4 linked regions of the Arabidopsis thaliana genome follow. The protein of the gene in region 3 purifies or fractionates together with the protein of the main gene of each other region. This does not show direct contact. Each region holds a gene or a part of one and is shown on either strand. Other genes may lie near its edges.

Region 1 (5,388 bases), on a different chromosome or scaffold from region 3:
AAACCCATGTCCTGCAAATTGACACAAAACACACAACATGTGAGCCATCATTTCATTTGAAGAGATAAAAAACTGTTGTCAGAAAGAAAGTAAAACTTACATCATCGGATTCTTCTTTCTCTTCTTTCTTCTCTTCTTTCTTGGACTCAGCAGCAGGAGCACCACCACCTCCTCCACCTCCAGATGTAGCAGAAGCAACCGCAACACCACCACCACCTCCTGATGGTACTGAAGCTAACTTCTCCCTTCCAGCAGCAATTAGCTCAGCCAAGTCTTTCCCTTTCACTTCCTTCAACAAAAGCTCAATCTGAGAATCCTCTGTCTCAGCACCAACTGCAAAATCAAACATAACAATTGCCACACTCCATCAATTCTTCCTCCACCACAATTACAGCAATCACCTATAACAACACAGTCCAATACCAACACCATAATGCCTCTTATTGCATCACACTGTTCATTTCCAGCAAACATATACAATTCCTAGTTCCAATAACATTTCAAGTTAAACAAATTCTCACTACTAGAATAATCATGTATACATTCCAATGCTCAAATCAAAGTCACGAACCTGATCCAAGAATATCCTTGATATCGCCAGTGGTTGGGGAAGCTTTCCCGCTCAAGACGGCAAGCAAAAACGCAGCAACAACCTTCATTTTCTGAAGAAAAACAAAAACAGATCAAAAATCAAACATAGTACGATTACGTAGGAGAAGAAGGAGAGAGAAATGGAAATGGAGGCGCTTACTGCGGAAGTGTTGATGGATCTCGCAGGAGGCGGAGTGAGATTAGGGTTTTTAGACGGCGATGGAGAAGAAGTACGAAAAAATGAAAACTATATGATTTATATACGCTTAGGGTTTTTAATCTTATCAATGTATCTCCGAATTTAAAATTTTATTTAGGCCCAGTTCTTTCAAGCCCATATTTATATGGGCTCAATATTTCGATTGACGGGTAATATTGATGTTGAGAAGAGAACGACCAGATTATACAATTCTCTAGTTTTATTTTGTTTGATGGATGGGATTTCACCTCTAACCTCGTCTTCTATAGCACCTTCTTGGTCGATGACATCAAAAGTAGCTTCAACTCTACACCTGTTGTTTCCGAAACATCGCCTGCGTATGGCATTTCTCGGTATATGTAGTTGACAAGTGATATGTTTTGCAAGTTACTAATAAATTTGTGGTGTCAAAGTTTTAGCATAGTCTAGTTATTTTCTCATACGAATTATGATGTATTTACATATTGGACGGCATTGAAGGGGGAACAATTCAAGACTAGAATTTTTTTTTTATCCTTTTCTTACAATAATACTATTCTTGAAGTCATACGTAAGCCGAATCTGAATCTAGGTTCCAAATGAACGACAACGTATCATTAGCAAAGTCAAGGCTAGAGGTATCTCATCACCATTCGAGTCAAGATTTAAGACCATGACTAGGACCAATGCTTTTGTTGGCTACTAAAAACTCCAGAGTGACAAAGGCGATTGAGATAGAAGCAGAAATGCTAACAACAAAGTGCAAATGACATTCGGGTCAAAAACTCTTGAGAATTTCAGCAATGTCTAAAAAAGATGATCGAATACAAACTAAACAACAACAACATATAGATTTCAAAAGGTTACAATATTAAAAGAGGACAACAAAACCGGACTTTTCATGCTACTACCAGCTTACTCGAATAGACTGAAACCCATGTCCTGCAAATTAAAAACAAAAACACACACAAGTGAGCCATCATTTTTAGGTTAAATTTCAAGCTACTATTAAGATCAAGACTTTTGTTAGAAGGAAAGTAAACTTACATCATCGGATTCTTCCTTTTCTTCCTTCTTCTCTTCTTTCTTGGACTCAGCAGCAGAAGCACCACCACCTCCTCCACCTCCAGATGTAGCAGAAGCAACCGCAACACCACCTCCGCCACCAGACGGCACTGAAGCTAACTTCTCCCTTCCAGCAGCAATCAACTCAGCCAAATCTTTTCCTTTCACTTCCTTCAACAAAAGCTCAATCTGAGAATCCTCTGTCTCAGCACCAACTGCAACACCAAACAAAAACAACAATGCCACATTCCATCAATCATCCCAAACTCATTATTGTATCCCATTGTTCACTAAATCATTACTCTTAACAATACTTACGCATCTCGACTATCATAAACACCGTTTAAGTCGATAGGAACCATAAAAATCCCTAATATACATATCATTTCAGCTTAAGCAAGTTCTCAACTATCTAATAAAGATTTCAAATCGAATTCTCCAGCGACTCAAACAACGAATCTAATCATATTGTAATGAAATCGATTGCGATTCATCAAAACGAACCTGATCCAAGGATAGTCTTGATATCGGCACTGGTTGGTGAAGCTTTTCCGCTCAAAACAGCGAGCAAGTATGCGGCAACAACCTTCATCTTCTGGAAAAATAGTGAACAGATAAGTAAATGGAGAATTTGATCGGAGAAGACGATGGAGAAATTGAAATGGATTAGTGTCGTTTACCGTGGAGACTGATAGATCTCGTAGGAGATTGTGAGATTAGGGTTTTGTGCAGACGGCGATGAAGAAGTGAAGAATTAAGGAAGTATTTTTAGTTTATATACAATTAGGGTTTTCTCTACTTTGAGTCTCTCCGGGTTTAAACTATTATCGGATATGTTTAATGGGCGTTGGCCCGGTTCATCGCTAGGCCCAATATTAATTTTAAAGGTGATGAGAAAATTTCTCAATTCTTCAGTCAATAAAAACCTATTTCTTTTGCAAACTTTATAACTCTTGATAATAATGTTCATATAAGTGAAATCATAAAACAATATTGTTTGTGTAAACAAAACAATTAATCTTGTTATCACTAATAAAAGTGAAACAAATTAAATTTATAATTAGTAAATAAAGTAGATTTATGCTTTTTAAAAAAATCTTTTTTGCAGTAGCTAGATTGTGTCTATATGTGTAATCTTTTTTATTTTTTATCCTTTTAAGTAAGTTAGAAAAATCTTTAAAATGTATTATATAAAAACATTAATGGCATTGGATATGAATAATAATTAAAGATTTACAAAAATTTACCTTTTAATATATAGTAGATTTCATTCCATTTAAAATCATTTATGTAAATGAATCTTAATCCGAGAAAAAACAATTATATCTTGCATGGTCTAGAAATTATTTAAGCAGCATCGTTACATACTTAGAATCGGTATATATCTACACAACGTGTTTGCTCCACCGTATAGGAAGTTTCACAAAGAAAAAATCATAGCTAATTCTCGTTTTCTGTCTCAACCTTGTCGATCAAGTCATCTCCCATATAAGGTAAAGCTTATTCGATTGTTTAGCAATGGATCTGAAGAAGCCGAGTGCTCGAGGTGGAGATGATAAGCAGCAAATTGTTGGCGATGAACACTCTAGACGTAATAAGCTCTCCGAGGAAGACAAAGTCCGTTCTCCCATTTGCTGTATGATGGGTCATATCGATACTGGTAAAACAAAGCTGTTAGATTACATCACAGGAAATGTACAAGAAGGCGAGGCTGGAGGTACCACTCAGAAGATGGGTGCAACATATCTCTCAGCGAGAAACATCCTAGAGAAGACCATGGAACTGAAATCCGATACAAAACTTAAGGTGCCACGTCCACTGTTTATCGATACACCTGGTTACGAGTTCTACACAAATCTTCGCTCAAGAGGCTTAGGTTTGTGTGACTTTGCAATTTTGGTTGTTGACATAATGCATGGGTTAGAGCCACAAACTATAGAATGTCTAAATCTTCTGAGAATGAAGAATACGGAGTTCATTATTGCATTGAATAAGGTAAAACTGTTTGTGATTTGTTTTGTTCTATGGTGTAAATGTTTTTATGGAAAATAAAATTTTCAATGTACTTATAGGTGGATAGGCTATATGGATGGAGAATATGTGAAAATGCTCCTATCTTGGAGGCGATGAAGCAACAAACTAAAGATGTTATAAATGAATTTAACATGAGGCTGAATGAGGTAAGTTATTCATCTAGAGTTTATCATCATCTATGGGTTTGAGCTATCACTTTGTGTATATGTTGTTTCATTGGTATTACAGATTATAAACCAGTTTAAGGAGCAAGGACTCAACAGTGAGCTTTATTACAAGAATAAAGAAATGGGAGAAACTTTTAGTATTGTTCCTACTTGTGCTATTAGGTATATGAGTCTCTCTTTGTTTATTGTTTGTAATTTATCCTAAATGGTTGAGTAATTTTGGTTCTTGATATTTCAGTGGGGAAGGGATCCCAGATCTATTGTTGTTGTTGGTTCAATTGACTCAGAAAACAATGGTTGAGAAACTAATTACATATGTTGACAAAGTGCAGGTCTTGCTCCTTTTCTCTTTTAGGTAACACTTGTTTGTACAATACTTCAGCATGTTGGATTCTGATCCTTTCTTGAAACTGTTAAGCAGTGTACTGTCCTAGAGGTCAAAGTTATGGAAGGCTATGGTACAACGATTGATGTTGTGTTGGTAAATGGTGAACTCCATGAAGGTGGTCAAATCGTCGTTTGTGGTCTACAGGCAAGTAAAAACTTATTATCCAAACTCAAATAAGTAATGCATTGGATAATACTTAGAACTTAAATAATGATCTTATATCTTCTTATATTTTAGGGACCTATTGTCACAACGATTAGAGCATTACTGACTCCTCATCCAATAAAGGAGTTGCATGTGAATGTACTTATTACTGTTATTCCTTAAGAAATTATAGTTCATGCAAATACCATTACGTACTTTTTCTATACACAATGAGAATTCTTGGTCTGGTATTTCAGGGTAATCATGTACATCACGAAGTAATAAAGGCTGCAGAGTGTATCAATATTATTGCCAAGGTGATTGGACTGATACTACATTAATCTTAATTTCTAGTCTCTTTTAATTAATGATCACATCCTGAATATTATTTTCCATTTTTTGGTTGTGTTTAAAAGGACCTTGAACATGTAATTGTTGGTACTGCCCTGCATGTCGTTGGACCTGATGATGACATCGAAGCAATTAAGGAGTTGGTTATGGAAGATGTAAACTCAGTTTTGAGCAGGATTGACAAAAGTGGTGAAGGAGTTTATATACAAGCGTCTACATTAGGTTCTTTGGAAGCATTGCTTGAATTCTTGAAGTCCCCAGCTGTAAAGTTACCTGTTGGTGGTATTGGCATAGGGCCTGTGCAAAAGAAGGATGTAATGAAGGCGGGAGTGATGCTCGAGAGGAAAAAGGAATTTGCTACAATTTTGGCTTTAGACGTGGAAGTGACTACAGAGGCTCGTGAACTTGCTGACGAAATGGAAGTTAAAATCTTCTGCTCTGATATCATGTATCATTTATTCGATCAGTAT
Region 2 (6,689 bases), on a different chromosome or scaffold from region 3:
GTTGATAAACCCAGGAGATTTCGACTCTTCCATATTCTACATAAAGTCCATAGTGGTATTTGCCTAGTTAGGGAATCCAATCGTTTACCGTTACAACTCGCAAATATCACTTTGAGCTTGTCTTCAAATGAGTCAAGGACTAACGTGTTTTTTTTGGAAAAAAATGCGACGAAAATTGTCCCCATTATGGTGGTCTTTACCTTCATTTTATTGTTTTTTTTCCTTCCTAATATGGGATTCATGGCCATCAATTTGTTGAATTAATGTTCAGACATATACACTTTTGTACATTGAACCCATCCCCGGTTTACAAAGGTTCTTATCATAATTGGGCTTTAATTTAACCATCCAAACATTTAGTCTACAAATATGCTTTAATCATAGCTGCACATTAACTATCCGACCATTGCTCCACCTACGGGACTATAATCTCAACTGATAAGCATATTGTCTAAGCGTTTGGTTAGTTATGATCGTAAATAACCTGATTTTTATTCTGAATTTTAATTATTACATAAGAGACTTCTTTTGAAACAAAATCTTTGGAAGAAAAAAAACGAATGTAGCGACTTGTTCGAGGCCATTATCAATACGAAAAACAAAATTTGATAGGCACGGAGAATCGCAAAACTTGTTATCGCCAACCTTCAAGGCAACTCACGTCATTTAAACTAGACGCCCTTGCTCTGCTAATTGGCTTAATGTTTATGACAAGAAGAAACAAATCGAACTCTTCACGAATTCATTATCAATACCAAAAAAAATAGAACTTAGAATATGAGATTGGGGACATCAGTTCTCCAAGGTGAAAAACACATCAATGTAATATTATCAGTCGCAAATTACCCATTTGTTTTATGATAATCATCATCTGCCCCACTTTCAACAAAACTAATGATCTAATAAAAAAAAATCATTGGGAGGGTTTTTATTAAGAGTAGATCAGAACCTGTCGAGATATCACAATAACATCACTCAAATGTTGTCAGTGGATTGACAGACTGTGAATTCTTTATCGTCACTTCGACCACACACCAAAAAATAGAACAAAAGAAAAGCTTAGAACTCTAAGGTTATGTTTGCCGTCAACGATGAATAACTTCATCTCTGGCACACGGTAGTTACATCACAGCAACTACTCAAGATTTTCGAACATAAGAATTCAAAACCACAAAAGAATATGATTAAACTATGAAACAGAGATTATAGGGAGACATATCGGACCACAGAGAGACGAAGGAAACACTTATCTGTTTCAAGCGGCGATGAAAAGACTATTTATATGCAACGACGGGCTTGATAAAACCCTAATTTGTTCCTTTTTTTTTGCAATAAAAATTGGTTAACCGAAGAAAGAACACTAAACCATAAAAATTAGTCACTTATTTCATAAAATGCCAAAACTATTTATTGCCAGAAATATGCAAGTTGGGGAAATTGTTAATTTAGAAATTCTCAATAAATCCTGAGAAATAATGTTTACACCATAATGTAATTATTTTCAATAAACCAAAATATTAAAATTTTATTGTCATTGATATCTCATAACTCTATTATGCTAAAAAGAAGAAAAGATAGAACTGTGACATACTTTAGGTGAGTAAGAGAAGCAAGACATGGTTAGACTAGAAACTGTCGAGAAGAAGTAGAACAAAAAAGAGGAACTTAGACCGATCCTAAACCGATTAACAAAAACCAACAAGTATCAAAGGAAAATACTACTAACGGAGCTATCATCATGGACACGCCAAATGGTCTCACCCAGAAGATTAGCCACCGATAATATCGTTAACTGCGGGAAGTAATTCTTCTCCGCTACTGGTAAAGTATTCGTCACTATCACTTCTTGCAGCAAACCGCTTGATAACCGCTCTATCGCAGGAGGACTGTGACATTGATTCATTCAAGAAAACGGTCTCTTAGTTTCATAAACGAAAATGGAGAAGAACTGGTAAAACTCAAGCTAATGGGTTTACCTGAAAACAGCGTGTGTACAGCAAGCGTAAACCTCACGTGCACCCTCCTCGTGTAAAAGAGCTGCTCCTTTCACAATGGTTCCTGTAAATAAGAAGATAAAAAACTGGTTCTTAGTAATGTATGGCCTGCAAATCACAGAATAATCTCTATTTAGTAATATCTCGATTATGGCCTAGAGTTTGGAAGCTTTTGTTTATAACAAACATATCAACGGAAAGAGGAGTTTCTGGCAATTTTTACTAACCAGCTGTATCAATAATATCATCCACCATTACTGCCACCTTCCCTTTAACATCACCGATTAGGTTCATGACCTGTGGGAAAGAGTATTATCAACACATGAGAACTTGCGTGTAGAAAGGATAAAATGAAGGTAAATTTAAATTTTTACCTCAGCGACATTGTGGCCGTGACGCCTTTTATCGACAATGGCAAGTGGTGCATCAGATAATTTCTTAGCAAATGCACGTGCCCTGGCTACTCCACCAACATCAGGAGAAACCACTACCAAATCCTCAGAGGAAATTGACTTGCTAGCAAGATAATCAAGTATCACAGGCTGAAATGTAATCACAATTGTGTAAGATTTTAAAGGTTGCATAAAAAGTAGAGGCTTGTCTATCAAAAAGGTTGAAACTTAAGATACCTGGCAATAGACATGATCCACTGGTATGTCAAAATAACCCATGGATTGTCCTGAATGAAGATCACAAGCCAGAACCCTATCTGCACCGGCTTCTGTTATAAGGTTTGCTACCAATTTGGCAGCAATAGATTCACGCCCTTGTGTCTGAAAACATCAATAGATACATCAGATGAAATTACTTGACATACTGTATCTACCATTGAAGAAGACAAAAAGAACCTACCTTTCTATCAGCTCTTGCGTATCCAAAATACGGAATCACAGCTGTGACTTTCTTAGCTGATGCTCTTCGGCAAGCATCCACCATGATCAATAGCTCCATGAGATTCTCATTAGTTGGAGTGCAAGTAGGCTGCACCAAAAAGACATCGCAACCTCTAACACTTTCTTTGAGCTGAACATAGATCTCTCCATCAGCAAATCTCTTTATGCTAACCTTCCCAAGCTCCAGACCCATATACCAAGCAATTTCCTTCACAAAATTCCAAGAGTTTAGCATATACTTCACCAGAAGAAAACTTGATTAAAAAAGACAACCAAAGGTCTCGAGAAAACTACCTGAGATAAAGCTGGATTAGCAGTACCAGAGAACAACTTGAGCTTAGTATTGTTTCTACTAACCGATTTCTCCAACCGTGAAGAATCAAAGAACTTAGGAATTGTCGTCTCATTAATAATTGGAACACGAGCGTTCCCGTTTAGTGCCTTAGGCAAATTGCATTTCTATCAAACACAATGACAAGGAATTGTGAAACCAAATTCAAAATGTTAGACACAAAATTTAACCAACACACGATCTCTCTTACATCTCTCTACAAACATAAGAATAACCAAACATTCATGAACAGTATTCAACACACAAGATTCCAAAGCTGAAAGTTCCAAATTCCAAATTCTACAGTCACATACATGGACAAAGTCAAGCCAAGAGCGACGACAACACACAAATTCTCACAAAATTAGCCTGTAAACGAACTGCTAATAGCATCTACTAAATCCAGAAAAATCTCACAGATCATCAAAGCATAGATTCATCCAAAAACAATTTGAATTTTCTTATAACAAATACATGAAACGCAATGTGAATATCGAATTCATTCATTAACATGAAGGAAAAAAAATGCTCAATGCTCACCGCGTAACCAGAAACGCAGATTCGAGAGCGAGACTCAGTGGTCCTGAAAGAAATCGAGGAACGGGAGAAGAGAGACGAAGACGACGAGGAGAGATACGAAGGAATCTTAACGGAGGGAGGAGAAGTCAGAGCCAACGACGCCATATGTAAATATATACGTCGGAAACACCTGGAATCTCTTGAGTCACGGCAAATATCAGACTCCTCTCAACGTTAAGAATTCCGATAGAGAAGAGAACTAATCGAAGGATATTAGGATTTAGGGTTCCAAATTTGGAGTGAGAAACGAAGGAGAAGGAGGAGAAGAAGAAGGTAATGGTGAATATGTTTGTTGTTGTTTCTTTCTTCTCCGGGAAGAAGAGTGACTCAAGCGGTGCGGCGATGGGTCTTCTCTCTTTCTCGAAATTTGGAATTTTCAATTGTAATTTTGTTACACTAAAAACATACAAAAATAAATATTGTTTAGAAACGGTGTCGTTTGGTTGATGGCTAAAATCGTCTCTGCTCGTAGCTTTCACAGCTTACGTGTCATGTAGGACTTAACATTGAAGGAGTCGAAAAGAGAAATTGTTTTCAAACACAAATTCTAAAGAATCTCATACTGATTCCTAATGCCCACTTGTTTCTAAGCATTTTTCATGCCACTTTAGGATTCCAATAACTAATTATGAACATAAATTTTCTAAAAAAAGAATATATTTTCAGCAAAAAAACTTTTTTTAAAAAAAAAACCATTTGTATTTTGGGTTCTTTCGGCTATACAAATAGATTGGGTCACATCATTAATATTGGCCATTGCAACAATTGAAAAGTGCAAATTTTGGAAAGAACAAGTCAAAAACTCAAAAGGTGAAGATGTGATTCTTCTCCTACATAAAAAAGGTTACAACTTACAAAAGACCTCTTCAAGGTACTTACAAAACATCATAGAGATTGCCTTAATACTTGTTTTGAGTTTAAAGAGATCCAAATTGAAAACATATGCAGCCATAAGGATTTGTTGCCATTTGTGTGAAACTGAAAAGGCAAACGGGTTATAATAATAAGAAGCCACAATGTCATATTTAACACATTAAAGATATAAGGAGATGTGATTAGCCATTGCCACGACCTCTTGCGTATCCGAGTCCATTAGACCATTTGCAATATCATTTTGCTCTAAATGATTACACGTGGTCAATTCATATTTCCATCTACCTAAATCCAAGCTCATAACGGATTACACTAAACAAAAAGACCAAAATGTCTCTAAGTTCATTGACCATTTTAGAACGTCATTCTTCGCTTGTCGAAGAATATGCAGTGAGAAGCAGAGCTAAATAAGATAAAAACTCAAAAGGGTTATAAGACATAAGAATACACAACGTCAAAAGAATAAAAACTTGAGCAACATAAGTTTCTAGGGAAAACTAGTTTCTTTAAGAAGAGAAAACACAAGTCTATAAGATTGGATCAAACACAGACCAACTTGACTAATGAAGAAGACTGAACTAAACTTCAGTCGAATGCAATCTGACATGTAGGTGAACGCCTGAACAACAATGACAACTCCTTGAGCATCTCAAATTTCTTGTTGATGTCAGTGGATTTAGAGGAGATAGTCACCTTCTTTAAACAGCTTCCACTTCTTAAGATGAATGCCGCTACTTCTTTCTCTTCTTCTGTTCCTTCATATTTTACCCATTCGAGAGTTTCAAGACTTGTCAACAGACATTCAGGAACTGCACTCGGTTCATTCCAGCACGGCCGCGGTTGATGAGATCGATAGACATGGTTCTAAGATAAAAGTAAGATATCATCACACTGTTATTCTACTGAAAATATATGCTGATATATCATAGAGACTGAATAATTCAGGTTTAGATCTGCAGACCTTAACAAGTTTGAGTTCTCGTAATTTAGGGGAATCTCTGAGTACACACATAAGTAGATTTAGCCACTCTGTCTCACATGTGCATATCGTTAAACGTACAAGACAGTGGAAGACACTACCAACAGGATAAGCATCCTGCATAAGAGACACTACATAAGTAATTTGATCACAAAGAAACCAATAATATATGTAGATAACAGAACTATAGAAACATATTACCTTAGAGGATGGTATACATACATAGAGACGCTTGACGGAAGAAATAGAACCCATGAGCTGCTGCGTATGTACATAAGAATTGCAAACATTTGCCTTCACAACCTTAGTCATATTATTCTCAATGACACAAAAACCACCCCTACCATCTTCAATGTCTAAGCACTCCAAAGAAGGAGTATCTATCACAAACCCGCAATCAGCATTTATACTGGCTAATTCCGTTTCATGCAAGACTAAACACTTTAGAGAAGACACTCTAACAGTGAAAGTAGTCACATTGTCATAGGGACAGCGTTTCACAACCAAGTCTTCAAGAACAGGACAATTCGATAAAAGCATCTTGATCAGCTCATCACCTGGAAACTTCATGGACACAAGACTCAAAGTCTTGAGAGATGGAAATGAAAACGAGGACGTAGCATCCACAAGAACCGCGTTATTAAGCTTCAAAGTCACGAGCATTCTACAGCACGTATACAGGCTCCTTGGAAGTACCACTGAAGAATTATCACTATTAGACTTATCAATCTCAATTATCAGCTCACGCAAACAGCTCTTCTCTGCTGTTTTAATCCAAACTCTAATATCTCCAGTACCACATGAGGTTTTACCGAGTTTGAAATGCAAAGTATCTAGAACTTGCGCATCGTGCAGAGTGAATGACCTGTCAACAAACCGCGAAAAGCTTCCATACTCAATAGCTTGATAGCTATCATCATATATAAGCTTTGGCACCAACATCCAAAGAAACTGCCACCGTTTCGACAAAACCATTGTCGAAACAACATCTTTAGCAGACAGTAAAGACAAAATTCTCACTAGTAGCGCTTCAGGCAACT
Region 3 (5,580 bases):
GTTCTTATATCAAGAATCTTATAGTCAAAAGGTGACATTATCCCAACCCAAGGTAACCCTTTGGACACTCTCTTCCACTGATTATCAGGACACATTCCAATTGCACGCGACGAATTCCTATAATCAGAAAGAAGTAAACTTTAAGATTTCACAGATACTAGATTGATTCATAGAGATTACACAGATACTAGATTTTACCTGTGGAAGCAAACGTCGATACTGTTGGAAGCATTATTACTCAAAAGAGTCAACTTTAGTGAATGTGCATATCTATCAATGTGCTCAAGTCTTCTTTGTAATCCATGGATATGTAATCTCTCACATATCGATGTTATACCTCGTTTCAGACCAGGTGAATATATCACCTCTGTTCTTGGAGTCACTTGTAGTGAACCAGTTTCACCCACAGCTGCTAATAAACAACAAAATTGGATCTTTTTTTATATAATTCATCGCAATTGTCTTAATTATGTAAAAAAAGGTTTGAAATTTGGTGATTCTAAACTACAAAATTCGAGTCCCATAAAGAATTGAAGAAAGCCCTAAAAGTATAATTCAATTCCGACACAAACTTACCAAAGACAAGTTCATTGGAGGAGACAAGGGAGAAGAAAGTGACGAGGTTGAGGAAGAGAATCACGACAATGAAATTTGAGCTTCGGACAATGACTGATGATGAGTCACTCATCGATTTTTCTGGGTTTTGTTTTTTGGATGAAGAAATCGTACGAAAGTAAAAGCAGTCACATAAATAAAAGAGACAAAATTAAGCCATGTCATCATCATATCTGCATACACCAAAAAAAAACATATTTAAGCTTTGTGACACATTCATTCATCATCAAACAGTAGCAGCAATAACCTTGGCAACAAAACATGTTGAAGGAACTGTAAGCACATGACCAAACCACTCAACTTCTCCCCAAATTTCACAACTTTCTTGTTTTTCAAGAGCAATCTCCGCGCACCAAATCTTATTCTTATAGCCGTTGTTACTACAAGGAGATTGTTCGACCCACAAAACCGCCATCTTTCCACCATAATCAGCCAATTGAATACAAACATTAGGTGAGAACTTAGGTAGCCTTACCAATTAACCCTTCAAACGTCTCCACAATCTTACCTTTTTGTCATACCATCTTATCGCTCCGTCAAAAACACAGTACAAAACGTTGTCTATCTCTCAATGAGAACTCGAAAACTTGAAAAATTCCATCTTTTGTTCAACCATGTCCCATGAGTCCATGACAAAATGGGGTGAAAAAATAAGTTCTTGAAAAAGCAATAAAACAAAATTCTCAAACTTCCATGGCCTCGTGTTCTGTTTCTTCTCCTGCAGTAGCCTCCTGTGTGTTTTTTATAGGCACGCTAAACAAGTACTCGCTCTCATGCTCAACCAAGTACTGCATCGATCTCTTGGTGTCTAAAAACAATCTATAAACTCTCTCAATGTCCTGAATCTCTACGACTTTCCCTTTACGTTTCAGGCAAGCTAGGGCAGCTGCATTGATTAGATGAATCGCGTACCTAAGCGAGGTATTACATCCGATCAAAGTCAGAAGCTGTTTCGCTTCCTCGTTCATCTCCACATCCTCTTCTTGGCAACGGATCTCTAAAATATTTCTGATCTCGTCTTGTGTGTAAGGCTGTGTTGTGATAATAAGAAGACGGTCAAGAAAATCGATTGGGATCCCATGTGCTGATATCTGGTTTGTTCCTCGGATTGTTGTCATTCCTCTGTTTGTAGCCACGACCAGGATTGGTGACATATCGTTTTCGAGAGCTCTATTCAGGAAAGAGAAGCATTCGATATCAAGCATATGGACTTCATCAATGAAGAGAACACCAGGTACTATTTCAGCTTTCCCTTCTTCTCTCCACTCTGCCACTTTAGTATCGCTTTGCTCTCGGGTTTCTGAACGAATCTCGCCTGTATCACCTGTGAAGAGGGCTAGATACCCTTGAGTCCTGCAAACAACAGAAAGAAAACAAGAATCCAAATAAGAACTTGAAAAAGCATCAATACGTGAAAAAGAAGCAATCTTTTTAACCTAAACCTAAAACTAAGCAATTGACAAATACAGAACAAGATCAAGAAACAAACCTGCTATTAATAACATCAATCTCATGAAGTGTGACAGAATGCAAAACCTCCTTCCTCTTCTCAAGCTCACCTTCAGGGCACTGCACAAACTTAGTCTTTGAACCCATAACATCAAAATCTCTAGACCTCGTAAAAGATCTTCCAAGCTTAGTAATCTTCCCACAAAACCTATCCAAAACAATAACATCACCACTCTGTACTTTCTCCTTATCCAATGGCTCAATCAATTTCCATCCCAAATCAAAATTAGATTCCATATCAGTCGTCTTCATTGTTATCTTCCCAGTCTTCTTCACAGAACCACCAGAAGAAGCAGGTCTATCAATCGAAATCGTCACAACTTCTCCTTCTATCACGTCAGTCTCTTCTTTGATCCTAACACCAATAGCTTTACGAAAAGCTTGAGTTAAAGCTTCAGTCTTTGACATCTCTAAAGAAAAGATCTCACTTCCTGCAATCATAGTGAATGGTGTTTCTTGTCCAAGTGATTTTGCTATACCCATTGCTATTGCGATTTTACCCGTTCCGGGTTGACCCGCTATAAGTATAGCCCGACCCGAGATTTTGCCGTCTCTGATCAACTCGAGGGTTACTCCGGCGGCTTTACGTGCTTTGATTTGACCAACCATTCCTTCGGATACGGCTCGTGGCTCGAGTACTGAGTCGAGACCTAAACCTCGTATGTGTGAGTGTGCTCCGATTCTTTCGATCCTAGTTAAGTCTCGAGTTTCTGATAACCTTAGTTCTGCCATCGTCGGTTGTTGAGTTCACCCGAGGAATGAGACTTGGCTTTTACTAGGTTTAGACTTTGGAGAATCAATCACCAGAGTCTTTCTTCTTCGTAAAGGTTTAGCTTTATTTATATTAAAAAATTACAAGATTTTGTTTGATATATATTCTTGTTAATTTACTTATGAGGAAGTTTACATTTATATATATATATATATATATATATATATAAATAAAAAGATAGTTTTTTTGTTTTGTTTTGGAATCTGTAAAGATATTGCAGACAAAAATAAAATTGAGAAACTTTTTTTCTTACAGCAAAAATAGTAATTGATAAACTTTCTAAATTATTATTTTTTGTGCTTGTGGTTTTGAATTTGTATTTTATGTTTGTAATTTTGTGAAGTTATTGTGGTTAAAAGAAATTAATTTTTGTTGTAATTTGTTTTTAGAAATTACTCATGATATTAAAATCATGTAGAACTGCATTGGTTGTTAACAAAACAATGTGAATTATTTGCATCACCACTTTTAGAATCGTATGTAATTTTTTTTAACATCAATTATAAGTAATACAAGAAATAATATTAAATGATACAAAATGATTTTTCTTTTCAAGTGTTTGATCCATATTTCTCAATAAGCACAATGCAACAACCTAATAATAAACCTAAAAATCAAAATCAAAATCGTCCTAGAGGCTTATGTTTTTGGTCAACAGATGGTTTTTCTATTTCTTTTGTAAGAATCTCGCAATTACCATAATCAAGAAAAGAGTCTTCTTCTTGAAACTCATCATCATCATCACAAGACATCTCCTCATCTATTCTTCCCATCACAACAACGCATCTATTGTTCTTCCGATGATCCAAGGACAATGATTGTCTCATTGCAATCGTAGGTTGTCCGCCACGTGTCAGACAGCCTTGATCATGTGCCGCCGACGTCAAGGTAAAGCTTCGAGGAAGGGCGGTGCTAGGCGGATCGCAGATTTGGAAGTTTCCGGAGAGTTGACCAAAACCAGATGATCCACCACCGGAATAAATTCCGGCGCCGGAGCATGACGTAATGCTTCGTATGTAGGCGTCACGTGCCATGATCAACAGACGAAAAGGAGCCTTAACCAACCATACGAAGCAGTTCTCTTTCTCTATGACTTTCGCTTTCATTATTGGATTCTCAAGAGTATCGAAATCAAAGTTGTATATATGTAAATATATAACCTTTTAAATATATTATAAGAGACGAAGAAGAAGAAATGCTCAAAGATTTCAAGACACTAAGACAGGATCAAAGAGAAGACAAATCCATGATGACTGTTGTAAATGATAATAACAAAATTATGAATGTGATCTATTCTTAAATGTACCTAGTTGGATGATTAAATACATTTCTTTCAGTTAGATGTTTAAATTTATTAAGGTGTTGTTGCCTTGTTGGCAAATCAGTCTTAACTTATTTCATATAATATGGACACCAATTTAAATCTGGATATTTGAGATGGGTTAGTTAGTAGTTAAAAGGGTATAATGGCTTGGTTCAACTACTTTCTTCAAAGCATGACGCTTGGTATGATAGTTCGGCCCATATATTAAATTTGATCCAATGTATAGACCCAATAGATTAGCACTCTTGTTTGCATCACTACATTACTCTAACCCACTATCGAATACTACAAAACTTTAACTGATTATTGAATCCTATCGTTTGGGATTAATTTGGTTCCAAAGAAATTCATGTGAGGAGATCACAAATAAATTGTTATCGAGATTTGGCCATTACTCTAACTTATCTAGAGCGACAAATATAATTTATAACTGGAGGTACACTATTTAGATCCTAGATTGTAGGTTTCGAAAATCTTGGGCGTTACAAGCAAAAACTCTTGGTATCATTGAATCCATACGTCATATAGTGTATAATTTATTTACAAATATATAGGTGCCTCATGCATGTGTCTGATATGTACATACTACTATAGACATAGATTTAGGGGGTAGAGCGTCACGACTCACGTGACAGTCCAAAGCTAAAATGGCTAGAAAATCAAACATATAGAATACGCGTAGGAATGCGGTATATACCTTTTTTATTCCTTCGTGCTTCTACTTTTGCATTTATTAAAAGATTGTTTCACACTTCTTTAACGTTAAAATAAATGAGCTAAAGCCTAAAATACTAAAGATAAACATATGCGTAGGCAATGCATTATAGTGTATTCATGTTTACCGATGTCATGGGCTCGATTGGTAACACCGAGAATGACGAAAGCGTAGACAAAAATGGTAGAATAAAATGGCATAAAGTCATAACGACAAAGCAAGAAAAAAACAATTTGATTAGAACTATGTTATTGTTGAATTAGTTTGTTATTTTTCATTAATCTTCCATAATCGACCTACGAATTTTCTTGCCTTTTATTAGTCCCTTCTATATCAGTAAATTCATTTTCTTTAAAACATATGTTTGAATCTGCTATACAATTAACAATGTGATCTCATATATGTTTAGACACAAATTGAACCTTTTCCGCAACGATTTTAAGTTGATACAAGAGTATTTCTATTGTATTAGTTGCAGTCATCATCATTATAAATTGACACAACAAAACCTCATTACCTAAAGTGGCATTATTTCACTGTATTCTCATAGAACTATAGAAGTCAAGTTATTTCTCATAGTTGAACGATATTTGACATCCACAAACTCTCTACCATCAAAAGTTATGAGTGTTACATTGCCAATCC
Region 4 (6,934 bases), on a different chromosome or scaffold from region 3:
TAGAAAACCTTTGAGAATTGTTTTTGCATTTAAAGTGAATAGAACTGTGAACAAGTCAAATTAATTAGTCAAGTGATTTCCATTATGCACAACTAGTAAAAAAACAAAAAAAAACATTCGGTATATTTTCTGGGCATCAGATAATCATAAAAGTTAGCATCACATAGAATCAGACGCAAATTACCCATGAAATATAATTTCATCATATGCCCAGTAGAAAACAAAGAGAATCAAAAACCAAATCCTTAAAATCGACAAGACATTCGAATTGTACAAAAACATAAAAGAGACTATGAATCTGAGTATCAGTTCTCCAAGGTGAATAAAACATCAATGTAATTTCAGTAGTAAATAACATCAATATATGAGATTCATCCTATACTCAGATTCAAAAGAAAACGATTTTTTTAAGGATACAAAAACGAAATATTAAAATTGAAAACAAGATTTTAAGGATTTTTATTGTAGAGTCGATCAGAACCTGTCGAGAACACAATTACATCACATATATCAGTGGATTGACAGACCTGTGAATTTCTATCGTCACCTCGACTCATAAAAGTCCTTAAAAGAGTTTTTACAAAAATCCAAAAAAAACATGAATTGAGGAAGAGATTAAGATCTAGAAAAGCTCAGAACTTCTTAGAGGGTTGTGTATTACCGTCAGCGATGGATTAACCATCTCTGGCACACGATTTTTTCCTCACAGCTCTTCTATTTAAATAAATTTCTATGCACAAATCGAAAAACAGAGCCAAACAAAATCACAGATGACAAAACCCTAAGAACTAATTGAGGCGGAACACAAAACAATAGACTTGTCTTGTGATTCCAATGTGAGTCTTCTATATATACTAGTTGACACTAGTCAAATAGAAGCCCTAATTATGACTCAACCTATTCTTTTGGGCTTTTTTTATTTTTTTGGTTGGCCGTGGACTGTACAATCCAATACATAGATTTGTCTGATTATGAAACCCATTATCAAATTGTCAACAAGATTTTTGAGCCAATTTGCACCATGTTAAATGTAGATACGATACAAGATGTTCTATATATTAAGTTAAAAACTTGTGTACACCATAATAAAAAATCGGTTCAACACCATTTGTGCATCCATAATTTTGAGATGTGGAGCAAATAAGAAAAACCTAAGCTGTATCAAAAGACAATGCAAGCAAATTTTGTTGAAGCTTTCCGGTTAGAACATGAACCGGGATAAACTTTCTAAACCGACTAACAAACCAAGAATCGTTCAAATTGTTGGTTGCAATGAGAAAGGTCAAAGGAAAATGCTACTGACGGAACTATCATCATGCACACGCCAAATGGTCTCACCCAGGAGATTAGCCACTGATAATATTGTTAACTGCGGGAAGTAATTCTTCTCTGCTACAGGTAATGTGTTTGTCACTATCACTTCTTGCAGCAAACCCCCTGATAATCGCTCTATCGCTGGCGGGCTTCCATATTGATTTGTTTGAAACAAAGAAAACAAATAATGCTTCAGGAAGTAGTGATTTTGAGACTGTTCAGGAACAAACAAAATATAGGTTAGTGGTTTACCTGAAAACAGCGTGTGTGCAGCACGCATATACCTCCCGAGCACCTTCCTGGTGTAACAAAGCTGCTCCTTTTACAATGGTTCCTGAAACAAGAATGGTTCATAGATGATTCAGCCTGGAAAAGGAGAAGTTGATGGGGAATAGAGAGAGATAGGAAACTTGGTTTGTCGGTAAAATGACAACTCCATGCCGTTTTACTAACCAGCAGTATCAATCATATCATCCACCATTATTGCCACCTTCCCTCTTACATCACCAATTAGGTTCATGACCTGAAAGGAAAGTATAACAAATGTGAACTTAAGGGGAAGCAAGCGGTGTTGGTGAGCAAACTCTGACTCTGAAAGAAAGGGATACCTCAGCAACATTGTGTCCAGAACGCCTTTTATCGACAATGGCAAGTGGTGCATCTGATAATTTCTTTGCAAAAGCGCGGGCCCTGGCTACTCCACCAACATCAGGAGAAACCACTACCAAATCCTCTGAGGGAATTGACTTGCTAGCAAGATAATCAAGTATCACCGGCTGAAACAATTAAGCAGATAAAGGTATTATACACAAAGGAGCATACACACAATGCATAAAGAGGGGTATCAAGAACGTGGCTTTAGAGGTGAACCTGGCAGTACACATGGTCGACTGGAATGTCAAAATAACCCATCGACTGTCCTGAATGAAGATCACAAGCAAGAACTCGATCTGCACCAGCTTCAGTGATAAGATTTGCAACCAATTTGGCAGCAATGGATTCACGCCCTTGTGTCTGCAAGCAGCAAAACATACAATTTTATCCAGAAAAGATTACCAATAGCTAAGTTATCAACAAACCCTCCATATCATGTGAAAGTAGCTAAACCACACAAAGAGACTTTACCTTCCTGTCAGCTCTTGCATATCCAAAATACGGAATCACAGCTGTAACTTTCTTAGCTGATGCTCTTCGGCAAGCATCTACCATAATCAAAAGCTCCATGAGATTCTCATTAGTGGGAGTGCAAGTAGGCTGCACCAAATAGACGTCACATCCCCTAACGCTCTCTTGTAGCTGAACATAGATCTCTCCATCAGCAAACCTCTTAATATTAACCTTGCCAAGATCCAAGCCCATATACCAAGCAATTTCCTGAGCAAGTGCTGGATTTGCAGTACCAGAGAACAACTTCAACCTTGTATTGGTTCTATTGACTGATTTCTCCATACGAGCAGATTCCAAGAACTTTGGAAGTGTCCTCTCATTAATAATTGGGATACTTGGATTCCCGTTTCCCACATTCAATGACTCCGGCATATCACATTTCTAGCAACAACAACAACAAGACTCAATCAGAGATTCATATAATCATATAGGTCTCAATTTCTGTTCCTGGATAGTTTCAAACAAATGTATTCTGAAGAAAGAGACAACCTTTATGTAGCTATATTCGCATAAACAAACAATATTCAAACGAAAGAGACGAGCTTTTCAGCTCATGCGCCAATAAAAATCTCAGAACTACAAACTTGACAAGATGGCTATTAGGGTCCACTCAATCTAGGAACCTCAAATCCGGAAACGTAATAAGAAAGGAAGGATCAACATTCAAAAATGCAGAATAAGCAATTCTATAGATTCATGAACACCGCTTACAACACAAGCGAAGACAGAGTTTCGGGAGCGAAACTGAGAGGTTCTGACGGATAGAGAAGAGTTAGAGAAGAAAGTTGAAGACGAAGAGGCTAGATACGTCGGCGTTTTTGCGGCGGGAGGAAAGGATAGACCCAGAGACGCCATTGTCAGCAATACCTCACGTAAACCCACCTCTGACTCACTCAAGCAGTCTCTTCCACAACGAATTCGGAAAAATTATGGTTTAGGATTTTGAAGGTGACAGAGTGATACGGAAGAAGGAATGGCTTAATGGTTTTCTTCTCTCCTTCTTCTTCGTCTCCGAGTTTGTGTTGGACTCTTCTTTCTCGAATTTGGATTTTTTTTTTTTTCGTTTTGTGAAAAATAAATAGGAAATGGTTTGGTTGGTGTGTACAAGACTACAAGTTGTTACTAAACGACATCGTTTGATGGATTGGAGACGTCTGGCTGGACTTTTCTTAGGATTAATTAACTTTTTGGGATTGATTGAAATCTTGGTCTCTTCATTTTGTATTTCACCAAATGTCTCAAAACTCAAAAAAAATTTACTAACTTATTTATTTAGAATATTGAAATTTAAACTTTTGTATTTACATTGTTATAGAATATACACCAATCAAATTCAGTTTTAGTCAAATTCGAGTTTTGACTTCAAAGAGAAAAATCATGAGATTCATCACTTTTTTGTTCTTCCATTTGACTGCAATGTGGAGGGATTGGAATTTATTGGTATACCAAAAAAAATACATGATATACGGTTAAGTTCCTCGTGCCATTTACCTTCAAAAACCGAAGTTGGTAGACCCGGTTCACAATTCATTTTTTTCCGAATAACCAAACCGGCCCAAAAAGTTTTATCCTTTTGTCTCGGTCTAATCCATTTCTCTAGTGCCAAAGCTAACAATGGCGGTTTTGGAAGCTTCTCTCTCCATTTTCTCCTTCTCTTCTTCTTCTTCCTCTTCAAAACCTTATCTCTTTTCTAAACGCTCTTCTTCCTTAAAACTTACTGCCCTTAGTCTTCGAATTCCCAGCAATCTCTCTCCCGTCTTCTCTCTACGTTCCGGCAGCGATAACTCACGGCGGCTCGTCTCCGTACTCTGTTCCGTCGCGGAGAAAGAAACATCGGCGGATGAAGAAACGTCGCAGGAGGAGAAGACTGAAGAAACCCAGAATTCAAATCTGAAAAGGAAGCTTTTTGTATTCAATCTTCCTTGGTCTATGAGTGTAAATGACATTTCCGAGCTCTTTGGACAATGTGGGACTGTGAACAATGTCGAGGTCTTTCTTCTTTCTCAATTTCGTTTCAATCTTTATGTTATTACTAGCAATTGCCTTACCTCAATTTATAAACTTTTCCTAGATTATAAGGCAAAAAGATGGAAAGAACCGAGGATTTGCTTTTGTAACTATGGCTTCTGGAGAAGAAGCTCAAGCAGCTATTGATAAGTTCGATACTTTTGTAAGCTCAAATCCCTTAGATTCTTTTCTGATTGAGTGTTGTTTGTTTAATTTCAAAGCCTTTTAGGTAGATAGTTCAAACTACTAAATCATACATTGTGTTGAGTTGTTAGCTAAGGTTTGATGTTTAAGCTTCTATCTTCTTTGTTTTCAGCAAGTGTCAGGGAGGATCATTAGCGTAAGCTTTGCAAGAAGGTTCAAGAAGCCTACTCCGAAATCACCGAACGATCTTCCTTCTCCTGCCCCTGGAGACACTCGTCACAAACTCTACGTATCTAATCTCGCTTGGAAAGCAAGATCAACACATCTCCGAGAGCTTTTCACTGCTGCAGATTTCAACCCGGTCTCAGCTCGGGTTGTTTTCGCTGACCCCGAAGGTAGATCTTCTGGCTATGGCTTTGTCTCATTTGCTACTAGAGAAGAAGCTGAGAATGCAATCACAAAACTCAATGGGAAGGTATGAAGTTCCAAGCATATTAATATAAAGTTTGCTCCTTTAGCCTTGAGCATGTAAAGTGTTTCATTACAATTTGGTTTTTCTATAGGAGATAATGGGTAGACCTATCACTCTAAAGTTTAGTCTGAGAAGCGCCAGTGAATCTGAAGATGGTGACAGTGTAGAAGCTAACAACGCTTCTGAAGATGGAGACACTGTAGAAGACAAAAACACTTCCGAAGAAAACATTGTGGAGTGACTCTTATTATTTTCTCTGTTATCCGATAGGAGCATGAGAATCTGACTAGAGATCTTATTACAGTTTTGAAATAACTACTGCTACAAAGAACACAATAATGAAGATGTAACAGAAATTCAGTAAACTATACTTCAATCCTGCTAATGTGTGATGAATCACCAAGCCATTGCCATCCTGCTCCTTCATACCGAGTAAGTTCGTCGAACGAGACACAGCTTCCTGTTTGGTAATGCCTTCTTTTGGACTTCACATTAGCATCCGTAGTCTTAACCATGAAATGTCCAGTAGAATGTGACCTCGAGAATCGCCAAGCCGAGGCTTCTATTAGCCTTTTGCTTGAACCAGCGGTTGGAGGATTTTCCTCATCATGGTTTATGTCCTGAATAGTAATTGTGACTGTGTTGTGGAATGATTCAAGCCTTCCAGATCCAATCATGCCAGGATCTAACTCACACCGGCAAACAGGACAAGTCTTGTGTAACTCAAACCAAAGATCAATGCAATTTGAATGAAAGGGATGACGACAAACCGTTATGAGCCTAACTGTATCTTCATCTGAAAACTCTGACAAGCAAATAGCGCATTCCGTCCCATGATTTTTCTTAGTTGCAGATGAATAGTGGAATACAGGAAAGGACCGGATGATAAACGGGTCGAGGCCAGTATTTTCAGGCGGAGTGGCCACATGGATTAGGTCACCGTAAGGTGTTCGTTGAAGGTTCCAAGTAGTAAATAATCGATTCAGAAGAAACTGCCATAAGAAAAGAGAGAAGAATCCGGCGAAAATTACAAAGAGAAGAACACCGGTCAAAACTACGGTGACAGGCATGGAAACACTAGGGAAAACAGCAGTAGCTGGTATTGAATCTATTGATGTTGTTGACGACATTTGAAGGTTGATGATTAGAGAAACCCCCAGATTCTACCAGTTTCGTAGATTGCTTGGGATATAAGAAAGGTTGTTCTTACAAATCCTTGTGAGAAAAGGAGTATTATTGTTCAAGTTAATAGAGAGAAATGAGGAGAATAAAGTGGCTATGTCTGAGAGACAGAAGTGGCTTTGCTTACCATTTTGAGCGAGTCTTTTGTGACAGTTAAAATCGTTGTCTTAATAATAAATCATTTTACTGTTAAAAATAACTCAAAACGAAAAATTAATATTGACCATGGAAATAAAGAAAAAGGTTTAGGTAGCAATGATGATCCGGTTTACAAGTACGCAACATTATTTAGTTCGGTTTGATCTTCTGCAAGATTAGATTTAGGATTGACAAAGAGAATAAACAAAAAGATGAGAGTTTTTGTCTTTGTTGAGTGAGTCACAATCTACAACCACAGAAGGGAGGAAGCTAATATGTCCACACAGTTACAAGTCTAAAAGAAGCTATACCTTGATCAACAAATCAGTGAAAATGCAGTGACTTTACTCAATATCGTCGATCCAATCACCATAAACACGACTGATTTTATCTGGTCCTTTCCATTTCCGTTGAGTTCTGACTCCGTTGGGTTTCTGCGTAACAGCACTAGATGTCCGTTGGGATGAGACTCCAGGAGAAACAAGGCTAGTCACTGTGTCTACTTGTCCT

Evidence for each region.
Region 1: the proteins of AT3G49830 (region 3) and AT2G27710 fractionate together in Arabidopsis thaliana (co-fractionation; one large-scale study listed by BioGRID). This does not show direct contact.
Region 2: the proteins of AT3G49830 (region 3) and PRS2 fractionate together in Arabidopsis thaliana (co-fractionation; one large-scale study listed by BioGRID). This does not show direct contact.
Region 4: the proteins of AT3G49830 (region 3) and AT2G35390 fractionate together in Arabidopsis thaliana (co-fractionation; one large-scale study listed by BioGRID). This does not show direct contact.

The regions. Positions count from the first base shown.
Region 1 is NC_003071.7:11,813,967-11,819,354, reverse strand, and holds AT2G27710 (60S acidic ribosomal protein family), read right to left. Parts: upstream 2,722-5,388; 5' UTR 2,515-2,721; exon of another isoform or gene 2,430-2,514; 5' UTR 2,427-2,429; coding exon 2,339-2,426; intron 2,050-2,338; coding exon 1,817-2,049; intron 1,712-1,816; coding exon 1,685-1,711; 3' UTR 1,383-1,684; downstream 1-1,382. Other genes in the region: AT2G27720 (60S acidic ribosomal protein family), read right to left, coding at 1-11, 101-333, 393-437, 572-659; AT2G27700 (eukaryotic translation initiation factor 2 family protein / eIF-2 family protein), read left to right, coding at 3,353-3,829, 3,907-4,014, 4,097-4,197, 4,274-4,367, 4,454-4,567, 4,661-4,726, 4,825-4,884, 4,984-5,388. UniProt on the Arabidopsis thaliana protein: Plays an important role in the elongation step of protein synthesis.
Region 2 is NC_003070.9:11,679,246-11,685,934, reverse strand, and holds PRS2 (phosphoribosyl pyrophosphate (PRPP) synthase 2), read right to left. Parts: upstream 4,202-6,689; 5' UTR 3,903-4,201; coding exon 3,759-3,902; exon of another isoform or gene 3,347-3,758; coding exon 3,182-3,346; intron 3,096-3,181; coding exon 2,847-3,095; intron 2,768-2,846; coding exon 2,624-2,767; intron 2,537-2,623; coding exon 2,369-2,536; intron 2,292-2,368; coding exon 2,222-2,291; intron 2,059-2,221; coding exon 1,977-2,058; intron 1,887-1,976; coding exon 1,706-1,886; 3' UTR 1,415-1,705; downstream 1-1,414. Other genes in the region: AT1G32375 (F-box/RNI-like/FBD-like domains-containing protein), read right to left, coding at 5,256-5,534, 5,632-5,766, 5,851-6,689.
Region 3 is NC_003074.8:18,479,659-18,485,238, reverse strand, and holds AT3G49830 (P-loop containing nucleoside triphosphate hydrolases superfamily protein), read right to left. Parts: upstream 2,991-5,580; 5' UTR 2,857-2,990; coding exon 2,105-2,856; intron 1,969-2,104; coding exon 1,299-1,968; 3' UTR 1,259-1,298; downstream 1-1,258. Other genes in the region: AT3G49840 (transmembrane protein (DUF2215)), read right to left, coding at 1-117, 199-412, 577-688; AT3G49820 (uncharacterized protein), read right to left, coding at 3,517-4,002.
Region 4 is NC_003071.7:14,894,246-14,901,179, forward strand, and holds AT2G35390 (Phosphoribosyltransferase family protein), read right to left. Parts: upstream 3,638-6,934; 5' UTR 3,337-3,637; coding exon 3,193-3,336; exon of another isoform or gene 2,863-3,192; coding exon 2,440-2,862; intron 2,329-2,439; coding exon 2,185-2,328; intron 2,091-2,184; coding exon 1,923-2,090; intron 1,838-1,922; coding exon 1,768-1,837; intron 1,649-1,767; coding exon 1,567-1,648; coding exon of another isoform or gene 1,563-1,566; exon of another isoform or gene 1,464-1,562; coding exon 1,283-1,463; 3' UTR 1,009-1,282; downstream 1-1,008. Other genes in the region: AT2G35410 (RNA-binding (RRM/RBD/RNP motifs) family protein), read left to right, coding at 4,096-4,470, 4,553-4,651, 4,805-5,107, 5,196-5,345; AT2G35420 (RING/U-box superfamily protein), read right to left, coding at 5,470-6,234; AT2G35430 (Zinc finger C-x8-C-x5-C-x3-H type family protein), read right to left, coding at 6,769-6,934.